Linked DNA regions of Arabidopsis thaliana. The protein of the gene in region 4 interacts with the protein of the main gene of each other region in a pairwise test. Each region holds a gene or a part of one and is shown on either strand. Other genes may lie near its edges. The genes, in order: AT2G17972, ELIP2, AT5G61630 and PIP3.

Region 1 (4,115 bases), on a different chromosome or scaffold from region 4:
CACTTGCTATCCCTGGAGCTTCTCTTCAAACTCATCTCCATTACTTCACCCGTGGACCTGAGTCACATGATCAACCTGGTTCTTTACTCGCATTCTCTAACGCTACAAATCAAGCTTCGGTTCATAAAGAATGGAGGAGTGGTGACTGGATTTGCAGATGTGGTTTTCACAATTATTCCTCTCGTATACAGGTGAGGAAATGGGTTCACAATGCAAAACCGACTTGCAGATTCCGGCTTGTTGTTTTACTCATTTCTGTTTTGTATGTCTCTGCAGTGCAAAAAGTGCAATGAAATAGCTCCACTAGGTAAGGTTTTTGTCTAAGACCGATGCGCGTGCAATCTTATATAACCCGAAGGTGTCTGATAATCCTTTCACGAGTTTTAATATGGGAAAGTTTATTTTGGGTTGCAGCCCTTGGTACAAAGAGATTAGCATCAGAAGCTTTGGCTCATGAATGGGATAGCAAAAGACTGAATCAAGGATATGTAAGGATTAGTTAGAGCGCATAAATTGATTAGTACATTCATCAATTTTACTTGCTGCTTAACCAACCTCTGTTTCTTCTGGCTCGTTGTGCAGACAAGCATGCAAACACAGTCAGCGATATATGCATCTTTTCCTGGTATGAGCCTAGGAAGGGTCTCAAATTGGCAACTTCCTCTCCCGTTTCTACAACAACACTCAACACCTGCTTTACTTGGAATGGGGTACTGTATTGATCTCTGGTCTCCATTGTTTTCTTGTTTTCTAAACGCTAGAACAATGGCGTGATCTTTTGCAACCTTCCCAATTCTTTGTGTTGTCTGATTTCTTAGAGTGAAACAATGGCGTGATGGCGACTGGATGTGTACAAATTGCAAGAATCACAATTATGCATCACGAGCAGAGTGCAATAGGTGAGTTTTAATCTAGTTTTTTCAGTTAATAATTCTGATTCTTTGCATTGAGTTAAGGTAAACAAAAAGCCGAAGAAAAAAATATTTTCTTTTCCATGTCAGGTGCAAGACTACACGAGATATCCTTGATCAGGACATAACTCCAACAGAACAATCTTGAAAATTCATGAAGAGTGTTGTTCTCTTGTGTATCTTAATCTAGTGAGACATGGCTACACATTACTCGAAACTAACTTGAATATATAAGCCTCAAAATGTTTTGGAACAGAGAATGCAGACACAGCTACAAAGCATTTCTTAACCCTTTAAGATGTTCTTAGGATCAAGAGGCGGTGTATCGAGTTGATAAAGATTAAACGCCGGTCCAACAAACCGGAAAAAAATCCAACCTCCAATGACAATGTATATCGACGCGTAAGCCAATTTGTTTAGCCAAAACAACAAACCTTTCTCTCCAACATAAAGCTCCAATGCCTTCTCATTCAATGTCATCTCTTCCCATGGCTTTTGAACAGTCTCTTTTTTCTTCCCGCTTTGTCCTCCTCCTTCTCCTGAACCCTCTTCCCTCATTTTCCTTCTGGATCCTCTTTTGAATCTTATCTCCACTCCATCCAACGGCTGAGTAATCTTCTCTTCATCACCGCCACTGTTTACGCAGTTTATCGATAGAGTTCTTCTGTTGCTACGATGCAACTGGAACTTGGTTTTTGTATAAGATTGTTGCTTCAGATTGATAATCGTTGAATTGGGAGCTAAAAAGTGGAGACTTTTCATTTTTGTTGTTGTTTTTAAGATTTTGAAGCTATGATGAATGAAGGAAGAAACGATTTTGCAAAAAGATAAGCTTCTTCATCTTCCACCGTTAAAATCCTCTGACCCAATTATGTCTCGACAGGTGGCGTTTCGAAATTAATGGGCTTTTAAGAATTTTAAACGGCCCAAGAGCTTTAATTGGCTGCTTAAATACCGATATTACCCTTGTTTGGTTAATACTAGAATTTACAAGTGTACCGTCACAGAATCCACACTGACAAAAGAGTACTAGATTTCAAATCGTGGACTAGGAAATTTGAATTTTCTGTAACAAGAGTACTAGATTTGGATTGTATCGAGCGTATCTCATGGAAAACGATCCATTTCTCCGGCAGTACCAGCCGTCGGAGCTTAAGATCGCTTCGGAGTTTCTGACGAATTGGCTTCCTTTTTTATCTAAAGATCTATGCAAGGATTGTAATCACCTTCTCTCCAATCGAATCCGTTCTCTTGACCCAGGTAACGATTCTCAACTTTTTCTTAGAGGCGAGAGACTTTCTGGTTTCTATGGATATTGAAATTCTGTATAGAAAGCGGAGATTTTCTTCATTATTGTACTTGATTCTGCTTTTTTGATTGATGTTCTGCTAAATGATAAGGTTACAAAATTAGGGTTTGGTAATTGGAACAAATAGGAGGCGAGAGAGTAGCAAGTACGTTTCTAAATTTGTGAATTAAGTTATGATGTGGAGTTGCTTATGAGAAATCATGTTTCCATATGTGTAGCACATTGTAGTAACAACACTGACAAAGTTGATGGAGAGTGTAAAACTGGTTCTTGTTCAGTGGTGGAAAATATGGGATCAGAAAGAGCTAGTAACAATGTGGATGATAATTATGATGAGAAGTCGGAAAATGGCGAAGACTGTGATAATCATTCGTTAGGTAGTTGGAAGGGAAGTGAAATTGTATTTGGTTCCTTTCCTGAAGATTTTAGTAGTGTATTGCAATCTAGACCAGCTGTTGTTGAAACAGCAAGCCCTCGTATGCGTTGGGCTGATATGGCACAAGAGGATGAGTTCGATGAGGAGGAGGAGGAGGAGGAAGAGGAGAGGGATTCGAGTAGGAAAGGTTTTGATGCGAGTTCGATGAAGACTCCAGAGAAGCCTAAGTTGTCTAGAGATCAGAGAGAGAATCTCAGGCTGATTAATGTGAAGAGAAAGAAAGACTTTATTTGCTTGGAGAGAGTTAAGGGAAAGATTGTTAACGTGCTTGATGGACTTGAGTTGCACACTGGTGTTTTTAGCGCAGTGGAGCAGAAACGGATTGTTGATCAAGTGTATCAACTTCAAGAGAAGGGACGAAGAGGAGAACTTAAAAGTAACTTCTTGTTTTGATCTGAAAATGCTCTTATCTTAACTTGTGACCTATTTTTAATCTGAATCTTGTCTTGTTCTCTCTCTGTAGAGCGTACATTTACTGCTCCACATAAGTGGATGAGAGGAAAAGGACGTGAGACTATACAATTTGGCTGTTGCTACAACTACGCTCCAGTAAGTAACGTTCTCTGTCATACTTTCATTAATCTGTTTCATTCTTAAAAAAGGAGTTAAGAGTTTTGCCTTCTTGTATTTTGGGTTGATAGGACAGAGCTGGAAACCCACCGGGTATCCTTCAACGTGAAGAAGTGGATCCACTACCTCATCTTTTCAAAGTAATCATTAGAAAGTTGATTAAATGGCATGTACTGCCTCCAACTTGTGTGCCCGATAGCTGCATTGTGAACATCTATGATGAAGGTGACTGCATACCTCCTCACATCGACAACCACGACTTTCTCCGTCCCTTCTGTACCATCTCTTTCCTCAGTGAATGCGATATCCTCTTTGGCTCAAACCTGAAAGTTGAGGGTCCTGGTGACTTCTCGGGTTCATACTCAATACCGCTTCCTGTGGGGTAAGCAAGTTCGTAAGAATTCCCAGTTTCAAAACTTTCGGCCATTCCTTGTCGAATAGTATGAAATCAAAGACTGTTTTTTTTGGATATTTTCATATTTATCAGATCAGTTCTGGTGTTAAATGGAAATGGAGCTGATGTAGCTAAGCACTGTGTACCTGCAGTTCCTACAAAAAGGTTATAAATATTGTTGCATCAATTTTCTTCTATAAACAAACATTTTTTCTCTTATGAGTATGTTTCTTCCCGGTTCTATTCAACAGGATATCAATTACATTTAGGAAAATGGATGAGTCGAAACGCCCGGTTTGGTTCACCCCAGAGCCTGATTTGCAAGGGATTGAGCCATTGCCATTGGACCTGAACCGGTCTGGTTCTACTTCAAGGTTCTCAAGATTAAACAACCATAACGGTACTAACCAAAGAGGACATGGACGTAGAGGAGGAGGCAATGGTTATGACTCAAGAGGTTACTATAATCCTGAGAGAAGCAGTGAACACAATGAC
Region 2 (4,204 bases), 8.3 Mb from region 4:
CCTGTAGCTGCCATAGCAACATTAACACTAAACAGGTTCCAGTTTTTCTGTTAAAAAAAAACAAAAGTCCAAAGAATCAGATCGATAAACCAAAACCAAGAATCCAATCACAAAAGTAAAACTCGAAAAGCAAACAAAACTTACAGGAGTAATTATAGTGCTGCAACGACACCAAATCATTCCAGTGCATGTCACAGCTAATACAATAATTATGGATAATATGTTTATAACAATAATTGTAACAAGAAAGATTAGAGATTTCTGAAGAGTAGTAGTTATTTACCAATTTGCTGAAGGTACGAAATATTTTCTGGAGGTTTCTGGAAATCTGCAATGTTAGCAATGCTTATACCCCACTTAAATGTTGGAGCCCAGAAATGAACTGATTAATACCCAACAACAACAACAACAAAAAAAGAGAGAAACTGTTTACAATTAGAATATATTATTCATTAGAGGATTTAAAGTGATATAGATTTTTTTTTGTCAAGAACTGTACTATAAACAATTCAACATTTTCCAATAGTAACGTTTCAATAGAGTCTTAATTGAAACGGAAGAAGAAAGAGTAATATATTATTGATGAAACAATGTGATAACTCACTTGTCTTTGGTCCTGCCGGGTGATTCCAGAGAGCTTGAAGCTTAGACGTCGCCATCAACTTTTGTTTTCCTCGGAGATTCTCTTTTCTCTGTCTTGTTTCAGTCTCCTACATAAATATTAACGAAATGATGCTACTCAAAACGACGTCGTATAAGCAATATGTAATTGAGCCACTCAAATCTTTCCGATTATATTCATCGATCGTACTATCGTGTAGTGTTGTAGTGGCCAGATCTTTCCTCTTTTAAGTGTTTTTTTGTTTGTTCATCTTAATATATTTTTTTTTGTTCTTGGGAAGCATTGACGCTTTGATTGGGCTTTGATGAGACTAACCCATGGGCTTGAGAATTGAGATGAGGTGATTTGTTAGAGAGAAATCGCATTCAATTTCGTTTCGTCTTGGAACTTGCTTTACTTTCATTATGGCAGACACATGATGACTCTATTGGTCGATAATAACAAGGAAGAGCATAATTAATTATTCTTGGCTCTTGATTCATTTCAAAAGAATGCATAAACTCTCAAACCTTGGATAGAAGCTAAAATTTATTTTTTACTTCTTCTTCTCCATTCACATTATCTTATAAGAAAACTTTTGAAGTACTTTTTCAAATAAATTTTTATAATGTTTTTTTCATGGTTTTAAATTTTGATTCATGTTGACACACTGTTTAAAACTCATAGTATTAAATCAATCTATGCGTTACATAATCATTCTCCAAATTTGTCCTTAAACTAGCAAACAAAAAGCTTTAGCTTTAGACTAGAGTCCCACCAGTGACGTACTCGGTGAAGGCCAACGCAACGAGACCGAGCATCGCAAACCGACCGTTCCATAGCTCGGCGTCTGAAGTCATGAACCCTTTTGACTTTGCCTCTGCCCTTATTCCCTTGAACAACGGAACCATCGATGCCAACGTCAACAACGCTGTTGTTCCTAGAAACCACCCGACACCACCGTCAGAGATCTGAGCAAACACGTTTTCTCCCTTTGATAACTCCATGGCGATGGCCGCCACGAATCCAACCATTGCTAGTCTCCCGTTGATCCTCTCGGGTGCTGGACCGCTAAACGCTAGCAAATCTCCAAACTTCGTACTCACCTAGACAATAAGAAAATTATTCATTAGCTTCATTTTTTTAGCTAGTGATATATATTAATGACTTTGATCATTAGATCATACCTTAGGCTTGCTAACTGGTGGAGGAGGAGACTGTGGCATTTGTGGTGGAGTGGCCGAAGTCGAGGTCGAGGGCACAGAAGGATCTTCCTTGATAGGATCGCCCTAAAAAAATAGTCAATGTAAGGAACGGTCAGGATTAAAAGTCAAATAAGTAACGTAGGGAAGTGGAAGGACTATGAGGTTAGTGTATATATACCTGAGCCATGCATCTGACTCCTACCGGAGCAATCCTCTTGAAGAAGAGTTGGTTTGTGTTTCTGATGTTGCGTGTAGTCAATACACCGGAAGGAGCAGCGAACACTGACTGCATGTTAAACGACGCCGTTGCCATTTCTGATTAGGTTTTCTAAAAGCCGAAGATCGATGAAGAAGAGAGAAATGAATAAATTATAAGACTTGAGAAGTGAGATGGAGTTGGTTTGAGGTGTAACTGTAGGATTATCTCTTCATTTATAGAGTTGGTGAAGGAAAATGATAGGCCCAGTATTTTCTGGATTTTATTTATCTTTACTGATTTATGGGATACTATGATTACTTATTTTATTTTTGTTTTTGTGTGGTGTGTAGTAGAGTAATAAATAAGTAGAAAGAAATCTATCAAAGAAAAGAAAAAAACTGAATTCAAACTTTTTATTCCTTTTTTTTCTTTTTTCCACTTTAAACTTTTTTTTTCTTTTGGGGAAGAAAAAGTTTCCTCAGAATAAATGTTTTCAAACTTATGAGATTTTTTCCATATTTATTGTAACACCTAACAAATCAGTTGGTCATTCGTTTCATTATTTGTAAAACTACCATATTAAAATTATACAAATAAATCGAATTATTTTGCTCGAAATCGTTAAAAATGTGAAAAAAAAAGAAGAATATATCGATATTTGGGTTGAACGCTAAACACAAAAACACGTAGCCAATAAAATTTGAGAAATGAGAGGAAAGTGAGGTTGAGATCGGTGAGAGGCCACGTCTAGTTGGAAAAGTGCAAGTAAACTGATGGCGTGGCCTCCTCATTACACATAGATACACATCTTCCTTGTCTTTTTCTGATTGGTCATGGCCAAGTGGGTTTGGCAAAAACACGTACAAATTTTTTTTTTGTCTCAAAATGTTAATAACAAGTTAGTGGCTCACAATATTCACTTGGGACTTGGGAGATTCGTTTTTGGTATAGAGAGAAGTCGCATTCAATCTTGTTTCGCGCGTATTGGAACTTTCTTAACTTTCATCATGGCAGACCCATGATGACTCTTTTGATCCTTTATGTGTCCCATTCATGTCTTCGTGCCCAATTCTCCTACGTGCGCTGTTTTTTTTTCCAGATTAGAACGGTAAATAATAGCACAATTGTGAAGATATGGGCATAGTCTTCGTGTCGGTATAGTCTCCTTTTCTATTGTCTTTTGTGTGTGAGTTAATTTCTAAATTTGTAACAAGGAGAAGAGAAACCTCTATTAGTGCTTGTAATACTTTTTGCTTGATAGTGAAAAGTTGTGGGAGACAGTTCCCACCCGAGACGTACCGGTTAGAGGCCAGGAGGCAGGAACTCGGTGATCAAACTCTTGTGTCAATTTCTAGCTTAAGCAATCTAACGTTCCACACATATAGAAAACTCAACAACAATTATTTAGATATGAATGATCAGATTTGATGTACCACCATCGATATGTGCTCTCTGCGAAAACTCTTTATATATACTGAAAGAAAACATACACCCACATTGGTAGTTTTTTTTAATGGATTTTACTAGCAGAGGATAATAAATTTATCGCATATATTACTTACATTTGTAGTTTCAAATACGAAAAAACTTGACCATTAGTAGTGTGAAGTGTGTAATTGATACTTTTGAGTTCAGGACGAAAAAATGTTCACGTCATTCGTGAGGAAATAAGGCATTTAGACTCAAAAGTCCAAACATGTGAGAAGGTCCTCGAAAGGGCGAACAATAAAAAGCCCCGAAGCCCATAACACGAGTGCCTTCTTATCCCCATGAGTCTTCGAGTGGACAAAGAGAGAGAACAACTTTGGGAAATTTATAGTAGTTTGTGAAGACTTCATATAAAAATTGTATTTATGAGATTATTGTGTTTTAAGAGGAGAGACGACGAGGGTCATCATTCATTTAATTACTTTTAACATTATAATTAAGTTCTGATTTATCCGGTCGTTTATGTAATTTATTGATTATATACTTAGGTTATTTAGCCGGCCACAAGGCCAAGCAAGCAAAACATAAGCTTGCGGCCGCTAATCATATTATTATTTAGTTTTGGCCGAATTTGCATAAAAATGTAGTCTAATGGTTAAAGTTTCAGTATTTGAGTTACAAGTTCCTTAGTTCAAACTTTGACAATGTGTTAAACTAATTTTTTTTTAAACGACAGAATCACTAAATAAATAAATATTATGTGGCCCATTT
Region 3 (4,406 bases), on a different chromosome or scaffold from region 4:
ATCATTTTTAATTTGATTTTCCAAATTAGAGTTCACTTTGGTTTGGATCAATTTAACCCTTTAAGTTAGAGCCTAGTACACTAACTAAAACTGATGCTGAGTAAAAGACACTAAAAAATCATTTTACGTTTTACTCAAACTAGTTTTGATGAATCTTACAAGAACAAATTCAATCGAGAACATCCAAACAATACTATATACCTAAAGGATTGAACACTTAAAAAGTTTTATGAACAAGAACAAGTTACATAAGTAGCCTCGGCTTCTTTATTTTTCAACGATAATTGCTATAATCTATCATAGATAAGTGGAAGCATCCTCTGCTTTCGGTTAGAAGCAAGGCTTTTACCCGTAGCAGCGGATTGGGTCGTTGCAGCCTTTTTCCGTTGATTGCTTAAGACCAAACCTCCCTCCTTTAGACAAGTATTGCTGGTGATGTTCCTCAGCTCTATAAAATTTCTTAGCCGGTAAGATCTCTGTCACAACCTTCCTGTCAACTTGTTGCTGGTGCCGCTCCAGTGACTCGCGTGCTAGTTTCTCTTGCTCCGGGTTGTAGAAATATATCCCTGAACGGTATTGGGTTCCCACATCATTTCCCTGATCAGATAAGGATGTACTCATTAAAACAGAGAAACAAATTCGAACATAATGCACGACAAGCAGATAAACTACCAAATAAATAGTGATTCTGCATAAGAGCTGGTTAAGTGCTCTCTAAGAAACTACCAAAATACACATAAGGATGGTTCAGTGACCAAAGATGACAAGAACGATAGCCAAATTCACATCCTTATCAAAGAGAAGATGTATGAGTCTCTCTGTTCAGTTTCAAACATAAAACCTAAATTTTGTACCAACAGAACATGAAATGAATCCAAAGTATTACATCATCCAAACCCTAGATTTCAATCTATTTAGAGCTCAATATTTCAAGCAAGCCCTAGAAACCCTAGAAATCTTCCTCAATCACCAAAATCAAAACTTAAAACTCACAAAATCAGACATTCTAAAGAGCAAAACTTTCGTTACCTGCCGATTCAAAGTGGTGGGATCATGCTTAGACCAGAACAAATCAAGCAGCGACTGGTAACTACACTCTTTTGGATCATATTGAACACGAACAATCTCGGCATGATTCGTGGTACCTGAACAAACATCTTTGTAAGAAGGATCGTGAGTGATCCCTTGAGAATAACCAACCTCTGTTTGAGTCACTCCTGGAACTCTCTGGTACGCTAATTCCACGCTCCAGAAACAACCGGCGCCGAATTGAGTAAACTGGTTTCCCGGCGCCGGAGCTTCGTCGTCGATTACTTGTGCGATTGGAGAAGGATCCATGTTGGTTTGTCTACTTGATCCTATACCTAGCTTGTTAAGTATGTTCATGGAGAAATTTTGTAGAGAGAGCGAAACAGAGAAACAGAGGAAAGTGGTGAAGAGGAAACGTCGGCTGATTCTGCGGAACATTTTGTACCAAATTCTGACAGGTATAAAATTCGCGTTTGCGTTTACGTTTTGAATAACGATAAAAATAATTTTAGAAACCAGTTTTGGTTGACATTTCATTCAAGCAGTTCAAATTGACAATCTTTAAAATCTTTTTTTTTTTTTTTTTTTTAATCTTTAAAATCTTAAAACTAAGATTAGTTAGTTTCAAGCATGATCAAATCATATGTTTATAAAATGTCACAGAAATAGAAGAAGAAAACAAAGAATCTAAAGAAATGGTTGTTTTTGTCACTCTCAAATGGAAAAATGAGTGATTAGATTGAACGATTTGACAAAGTCCTTATTTCGATCCAAATGTACCAAAACCATAGGCTCTAAATTCGCAATTCAATCCGGATTCTTTTTTCTTCTAAGAAATAAAAAACTGTGACTAAAATGTAACAAAGAAACTGATTAAGCTCAAAAACCATCAACATCCTAAAAACGTAATTTCTATAGAGTTTTTGGAACACACCTATCAAAACCAAAAATACTTATCAAAATGTATAGATCCGCGAGCTGGAACCGAGTGCCAGAAGACTACTCATCCGCACCGCCTAAGGGATTGTGGATGGGCTCGGTGATCGGTCCCCTCGACGAGAACGAACTACCTTCCTACAATAATCCACCAGAGGAGATGGTTAAGAAGGAGAAGTCACGTGCCAAATTCGCAGAAAACGCCATTCACATCATACCATTTGTTCTCCTTGCATGCGCTCTCGTACTTTGGCTCTTCTCAAATCCAGGTATATACAATTAGTGAGCCAAAAACATGCTTGTGTTTGATCAAACCATGCCCGGTTTTAAAGTGAAAGAAAAAACATGCATGTTGTTAACCACGAACTCATCCGCAATAATCCAACATGATCAAATTGGATTGCAAATGGTAGAGAGATCATGTCTGCATTTGGCGGTTGTGAAGTTGGGAAATATTTTATGTAACTGTTACATGTTGATACTTTATTCTTTGTGGCACTTATAACATCGATCCAAATTTTGAAGATGTGGATGTTGGGATGAGAGAAGAATCTATTGCGGCTAAGATTGAAGGATTGACGATCGAAGGAGACATCGACAATGATAGCGATGGAACTCAGACCGGTTTCTTGGGTGCCACCTTAGAACTCGGAGATCCTGACAAACCAAACCTCACTGATAGAACCAGACGAGCTTCTAGGAAATTGATCAAAGGATTTTACTAGTTAATCAACACCATTTTTTTAATTTTCTCCCAATGAATGTTGATTTTACTCAATAAACTTCACCAAAACTAAGATTTTTTTTGTTTTGTTTTTGGTTGATAAAGAAGCAGCTAAATATAAATCCAAATATATCTATATTCTTATTTAATCTAATCTGGGAAGAAATAAAAATGATACATAATCCGATTGGCAAAACTTTTGAATATGGAGCTATATATTCAAATAAAACTCAACACCAAAAAAAAGAAGCAATATACCTATATCATGCTTAAATAAACACACAAAAAATGAGATTTCATTTCACATGAATAACGCCATGACCAGTCAAGTCAGAAGCTCCAGTAGCTTGTGGAGGCAAACCGATATGAAGATCCAAACCGTCTTTATTTGTCATATTAGAAGCTTCACTCGGTTGAGACAGAGGCAAACCAATCGGTATATGTCTTGGAACAGGTATACCAGAAGGATGAACAAACCTAACCGGTACTTGAGGGTTGGCATAGTACATTGGATAATTTGGATGGTACATAATAGGTGGAAAGTTGTAGTAAGGTGGTATGGGTTGGTAGATTGGCATATACTCCATTGATAAATTCTGAAACCTGTTCGAAATCTCGGTTTGAGTATGACCTTGTACTACCGGTTGTTGAATTCCGGTTATTGGTTGTTTAGGTGGAGTCTTTGTTGAAGCATCTTGAGAGTTCCTCTCTTTCTCCTTCTGTTTAATGAAAAAACAATTAAACCCTAAATTAAAAAATAGCCCTAGACAAATCAATTGACTCAATGGATTACTTGAGAAACAAGGTAAATAAGTACCTGATCTTCGAGAGAGATGTCAAAGAGACTAGCACGTCTTTTTCTCTTGTCGTTAACGTTTAACCTAATAAAATATTTCTGAGCATGACTTGCGACTTGTGTTGGTGTTCTTGTCGACACGAAACTCTTTGCAATGCCTCTCCAATCTCCTTTTCCGAGTTTGTTTAAACCGATTAAGAAATTACGATGTTCTTCTTCCGTCCATGGCTTCCCTGAATTTGATTTATTCTTATTAATTTCATTGAATTTAGATTATCAAATTGATGAGATTAGAAGATTACGTACCCTTTTTCTTCTCATGAGCAGTTTTACCCTTCTTGGAATGAATCTGACCATCGGAATGATAACCGGTATCATCAACGGCGGCGATAGGATCACCGCTACCGTTACTTTCATCGTTAGCGAGAAGAGCATCAAGGTTTCCCAAACTAAGACTCTTCCTTAACGCCGTTACCTCAGGCGGCCTAATCGGATCAGACGATATATTAACGCCGAACAGTTTAACACTTGCCTTATTAACGCCGTTGAGACAAGTCCGTGCGTTATGGCCATTATGGCCACAGTGTGAGCACGTTTTCGCCACCGTCACCGTCTCCTTCACCATCTCTCTCTCGCCACCAATGTTTTCGGTATCACAAGAATTAGAATCACAAGATCTCGCTAATTGTATTTATACCTTAAACTCTCTTGTGTAATGATATATATATATATATATATATATATATATATGCGGATATGCGTGAGCTGTTATTTGTGAATGTCCTTGGTGTTTTTACATTTTTTTATTTTCCTTAAGAGATAAAGCGTTTCCTTAATTATCTTGTTTTATTTGGAAGTTTTTACCCAAGTCATTATAAGGAAAAATCCAGCAGAATCAGCGTAGGATCATAATCGACGGTT
Region 4 (5,047 bases):
TATGGATTAACGAAGAGATCTGACCTGTCTTTTGCCAAACTGATGTGGAAATTGTGACCTGGATGTTTTAGAGATAAAGATTGGCTGCCCCTTGTGGTAGGTCAGTCCCTTTCTCTGAACTATATAATATACTCAATTTAATTTAACTAGACTAGTTGAAATTGTTGAAGTTCGCTAACCATAATGTACAAAAATCCTTCATGTTCCGGGAAAATAAATCATAATTAACGATAGGTATAGTAGCAGCAAAGATAAGATGGTGATCCATTCTCACATGCAATGATTCGGATGAAGTTTAGCCAAATATTATTATTATCCAACCTCTTCTGCACCACGAAGAGACTTTATTTACGTAATATATTTGATGGTCCAGTACTACTATCCAGACATTATTGTTTTCGTTTCCAAATCATAAAACTTGAAATCTTATTGATTACTACTAGGGTCGATATCTCACTATTTGGAAACCGCAGGCTCCCTATTTATTAGTTTCAAACTCAATTGAAATGAAAATGTGTATTGGTGGTTTTAATGTTTGCACTGCGTAATGTTGCCTGAACTGTATATTTAATAAATTTACCACAACTTAGCAGATATAATTTTGTTATACGAAATCGTATAGTCTTCTTCATGGACAAAGAGGAAGGCAATCATCATTTTCTATGATTGCTCATCGACCTGGCATTTCCATTACCAAAGGCAGCATAATATCAAATCAAATATTTCTTTGTCGTACTTTACTTGAATTAATGATATTATCGTGGGTCGACTTAGGAAGTAAAGTTACTTCCATTTCATATATCTAAATCACATTTGCGTAAAATTTAAGTATTACACAAAGTGATAAAGTAAATTAAGTAATAATTGGCTAGGGATATTAACAAAATAAATAATTTTGATTAGGGCTACGAGGATAAGGACAAACGTCGTATTAACGTATAAAAAATGTGAAAGGAAAAGAGTAAACTAAGCTTTAGATATTAACACTCATTACGGGATTCCTAAATTGCCAGCACTTCGGATTATCCGTCAGTCCACTATTTATGCTAGTTTTTCTTTTCCTTGTGAGCTTGCACTATGGATTTTTCTTTATGCAATTCTCAATCTAAATGACCATTAAACTTTAGAAAAAAATGACCATTAAGTTTTAATGTACATTTGTATCAACTTTCTAATATGCCACGTCCGTATTGCTATATACAAACATAACCATTCAAATTAATATGGCTCTCTCAAAGGAAAAAAATAAAAGGAATAGCAAATGAGTAGATAAATTTTTTGATCAAAAAGAATAAGATGCACTAGTATTAGTATATACTCCCATACATCATTTAACCAAATTTTAAAATTGATTATAATCCATAAATAGTCTTCAAATTTCAACGACAAACACATTAATGTGAGTATAAATTAGCATAGACTACTATATAGTTTATATGCGGGGTGAATGTTTGTCTATACAAGTTTCGTCAAAAAAACGGCACCAACCATAATTAATAGACTCTTATCTTTTGCTGGTATATGAACTCTTTTTAAAAATTGCCGCGAATATACCTTCTTCGTAGATTATTAATCTTTTTCATGTACAGTTGCCTTTAGCAGATTATCATATGTTACAAACATTTGACCTAATTTGAAAAAATGTTACCAAAAAAGATTTGGAAAAAAAGACAAAGATATTGAGATAACCGTTGAAGAGAGTTTGGGATGACAGGCTGACGAGAAAACCATACACCTCATTTCTATCATTAACCCTCACATGGCTTATCTGTACATCTGGACCCCACCACCTTCTACTTTTATCTCCCATTTTTTTTTTCAAATTATTACTACCCAAAAAAATATTCAACAAACCTACAAAAACACATGTCTTATTTTTATTTATTTAAACATTTGTGTATTTATCCCATTGTTCCATATTTATTAGTAGGAAAAATATTCACATTTTACAGAACTGCAAAAGATTTGGCCATGCAAATTATACCCCACTTTGATTGCTATTTTATACACTATATCATACAGTACAAGAACAAAAATTTGATTGGGCCAGTAATAATGCATATAACTATTGATGTTAGCAAGAGAAAAAAATGCATTAAAACACAAATTTGACTATTATTTTGCAGGAACATTCGTGATAATTTTGACTATTATTTTGTCAGTAATAATGCATATTAATCGTATGTGATTTTAACTAAAACTGGAAAGTTCCAAGGAACATTTAGTAGTTTATATTTTTAGTACTAAGTTAGTTTAGAGGGTTATTAACTATTTAATCGTACTAATAATGATTATAAGCAGAATTATGTAGACTATACAAATAGTACGTAATACCGAAAGTACCCTTGGTTTATCCCTGGCATTACAAGGGTTTCCTTTTTCCCCTTTAAAATGGCAGAAGAGATACACTGTCGTCGTCACACAGCACCACAAACTCCATAGCTAGCTAGAGAGTAAAAAGAACAAAGATGTCGAAAGAAGTGAGCGAAGAAGGCAAAACCCACCATGGAAAAGACTACGTGGATCCTCCACCAGCTCCTCTTCTCGACATGGGTGAGCTCAAATCCTGGTCTTTCTACAGAGCTCTCATCGCTGAGTTCATCGCTACACTCCTCTTCCTCTACGTCACCGTCGCTACTGTCATCGGCCACAAGAAGCAAACCGGTCCTTGTGACGGCGTTGGTTTACTTGGTATCGCTTGGGCTTTCGGTGGTATGATCTTCGTCCTCGTCTACTGCACCGCCGGTATCTCTGGTAAGTTTGAATCCCACCAAAAACCCTAACTTTTACTTGTTTGGTTCGTTGGTTTTATTGTTAATCTCGTTCTTGTTCTCGTCTTCTCGTAGGTGGTCACATTAACCCAGCTGTGACTTTCGGTCTGTTCTTGGCCCGTAAGGTCTCTTTGGTGCGAGCTCTTGGTTACATGATAGCTCAGTGTCTTGGAGCCATTTGTGGTGTGGGTTTCGTGAAAGCTTTCATGAAAACTCCTTACAACACTCTTGGTGGAGGAGCTAACACCGTAGCTGACGGTTACAGCAAAGGAACTGCTCTCGGAGCTGAGATTATTGGAACTTTCGTCCTTGTTTACACCGTTTTCTCTGCAACTGACCCTAAGAGAAGCGCTCGTGACTCTCACATCCCCGTAAGTCTCAAAAAGCTTGAATCTTTAATTGAGTTTTTTGACAAAGTTACTATGAATCTGATTGGGTCTTTGTAGATTATGATAAAGGTTGAATCTTTTTAGGATTTAATGATAAAGTTAGTATGAATATAAAATGGGTCTTTGTAGATTCTGATGAAGTTTGAATCTTTTTATGGTGTAATGACAAAGTATGTATGAATCTCTAAGGATCTTTACTTTGTAGATTCTGATAAAGTGTGGTGGGTTTTCTTGTGATTAGGTTTTGGCTCCACTTCCAATTGGATTTGCTGTGTTCATGGTGCATTTGGCTACTATCCCCATTACTGGAACTGGTATCAACCCAGCTAGAAGCTTTGGTGCTGCTGTTATCTACAACAACGAGAAGGCGTGGGATGACCAAGTAAGTGTTTAGTTATTATCTGGATTAGGTATTCACTAATCATTCATGACTTCATGTCCTAATGTTGGTTCTGTGTTGGTTTTGGTTTTGCAGTGGATCTTTTGGGTTGGTCCGTTCTTGGGAGCACTAGCTGCAGCAGCTTACCACCAATACATATTGAGAGCTTCAGCAATTAAGGCCTTGGGCTCGTTCCGAAGCAACGCAACCAATTAATGAAGGCTTTTTTTAAGATAATGTCAAGAAACAACTTTAAGATTTATATGCTTTAATTATTATTTGTTGTTCTTTTGTGTGTAATGAGAGAGATGGTGGATTGATGTTAATTATGAAATGGCTCAGTGACTTCTATTTCCTTCTTTAGTTTTTGATTGTCTTTGTTAATCGTTTGCCTTTGGTTTCTCTTAGTAGTTACAAATTCATGTTTTCTCTTCATGTCAGTTCGTAAATATCGAACAATCCAAGTTGGAATTTATTATTCACAACATCACAAGATCCTTCAATGTACATTATTACAGCTAGCGTCCAATTAAGATACAAATTTCGGCTGAACATGGTGTGTGGGTCTTTTGGTTATTATCCTCGTGTCGACTCTAAACCATCGGGTCATATGTAAACCATTCATTAATTGACACGTGTTGAGAAGGAAATATTGGATTCCATTTGCTATGTGGTTACATTTTCGTTAGTTGACAAGAAAACAACTATTTTCGCTCCATTTGCTTTAGTCTTTTTTTTCGATGTTACTTGTTAGAATTAGTATTGTTTTTAAAAGAAAAAGAACTCGTGCGAGTACCTTTTGTTGTTTTTGTGAAAGGATAAAAAGGAGTGGAGCCAATAGAGTTGTAACAACCAGACAAGAAACGAGACATTAAACCCATTTTTTCCACCGCACTCTAACTTTTCTTAGGCCGCGTGTCGCGTAGCTCATGTGTTTATCACATGGGTAACTTTTCTGCGTCTAGTTACCGTATTGTTATTGTTATTGTTATATAGTAGACTCCTTTTGGCTAAGAGTCTTTAGACCCACCCAAACGCATATGTGTTTGGATGTATTAGGAAATTATTTGTATAAAAGACTTTACCAACTTAATTGAATAATGCATTTGATTAAAGAGAGAAAAAAAAAAGAAAATGCTCATGGAAGCAATAAGCACTAAATTTGTCTATGGGATGTAAATTGCGACAGTGAGAGTTGGCTTTAAAATAGTATGAATACAAATACGAATTTGTCTACATGGAATAGTAGTAATAATTCACGTCTCGTCTTTTCAGAAAAGTGAATGCAGAGGAGACAGAGAGAGAGAGAAGGACCACAACGATGGCCTTCACGCTTTTACTGGTTAATACGCCTAGTGTCTCAGTTTTAATTTTAAATACTTAGCCGTTATGATCGATTCTTCGTTATCTCTTCTTAGCTTCAATATGGTCCACTCATTTTGAACTTTGTAAACCCTAGCAGCTTATGAAGTATGAACCATCATATAGTTGGGCCTTAAATTTTGTTT

Evidence for each region.
Region 1: the proteins of PIP3 (region 4) and AT2G17972 interact in a protein complementation assay, tested with the Arabidopsis thaliana proteins (one large-scale study listed by BioGRID).
Region 2: the proteins of PIP3 (region 4) and ELIP2 interact in a protein complementation assay, tested with the Arabidopsis thaliana proteins (one large-scale study listed by BioGRID).
Region 3: the proteins of PIP3 (region 4) and AT5G61630 interact in a protein complementation assay, tested with the Arabidopsis thaliana proteins (one large-scale study listed by BioGRID).

What each region holds. Positions count from the first base shown.
Region 1 is NC_003071.7:7,819,182-7,823,296, reverse strand, and holds AT2G17972 (uncharacterized protein), read right to left. Parts: upstream 1,713-4,115; 5' UTR 1,674-1,712; coding exon 1,197-1,673; 3' UTR 1,060-1,196; coding exon of another isoform or gene 1,002-1,059; 3' UTR 967-1,001; downstream 1-966. Other genes in the region: AT2G17975 (zinc finger (Ran-binding) family protein), read left to right, coding at 1-191, 277-307, 415-488, 583-710, 819-899, 1,002-1,059; AT2G17970 (2-oxoglutarate (2OG) and Fe(II)-dependent oxygenase superfamily protein), read left to right, coding at 2,021-2,171, 2,439-3,032, 3,120-3,205, 3,298-3,608, 3,714-3,785, 3,872-4,115.
Region 2 is NC_003075.7:8,416,288-8,420,491, reverse strand, and holds ELIP2 (Chlorophyll A-B binding family protein), read right to left. Parts: upstream 2,251-4,204; 5' UTR 2,120-2,250; coding exon 1,985-2,119; intron 1,891-1,984; coding exon 1,789-1,890; intron 1,708-1,788; coding exon 1,363-1,707; 3' UTR 1,167-1,362; downstream 1-1,166. Other genes in the region: AT4G14695 (Uncharacterized protein family (UPF0041)), read right to left, coding at 1-47, 145-197, 284-382, 605-659. UniProt on the Arabidopsis thaliana protein: Probably involved in the integration of pigments into the mature light-harvesting pigment-protein complexes.
Region 3 is NC_003076.8:24,772,087-24,776,492, reverse strand, and holds AT5G61630 (uncharacterized protein), read left to right. Parts: upstream 1-1,914; 5' UTR 1,915-1,990; coding exon 1,991-2,234; intron 2,235-2,490; coding exon 2,491-2,690; 3' UTR 2,691-2,985; downstream 2,986-4,406. Other genes in the region: PMSR1 (peptidemethionine sulfoxide reductase 1), read right to left, coding at 346-597, 1,030-1,467; AT5G61620 (myb-like transcription factor family protein), read right to left, coding at 2,986-3,408, 3,507-3,718, 3,792-4,110.
Region 4 is NC_003075.7:16,706,204-16,711,250, forward strand, and holds PIP3 (plasma membrane intrinsic protein 3), read left to right. Parts: upstream 1-2,157; 5' UTR 2,158-2,468; coding exon 2,469-2,754; intron 2,755-2,846; coding exon 2,847-3,142; intron 3,143-3,401; coding exon 3,402-3,542; intron 3,543-3,635; coding exon 3,636-3,755; 3' UTR 3,756-4,204; downstream 4,205-5,047. UniProt on the Arabidopsis thaliana protein: Water channel required to facilitate the transport of water across cell membrane. May be involved in the osmoregulation in plants under high osmotic stress such as under a high salt condition.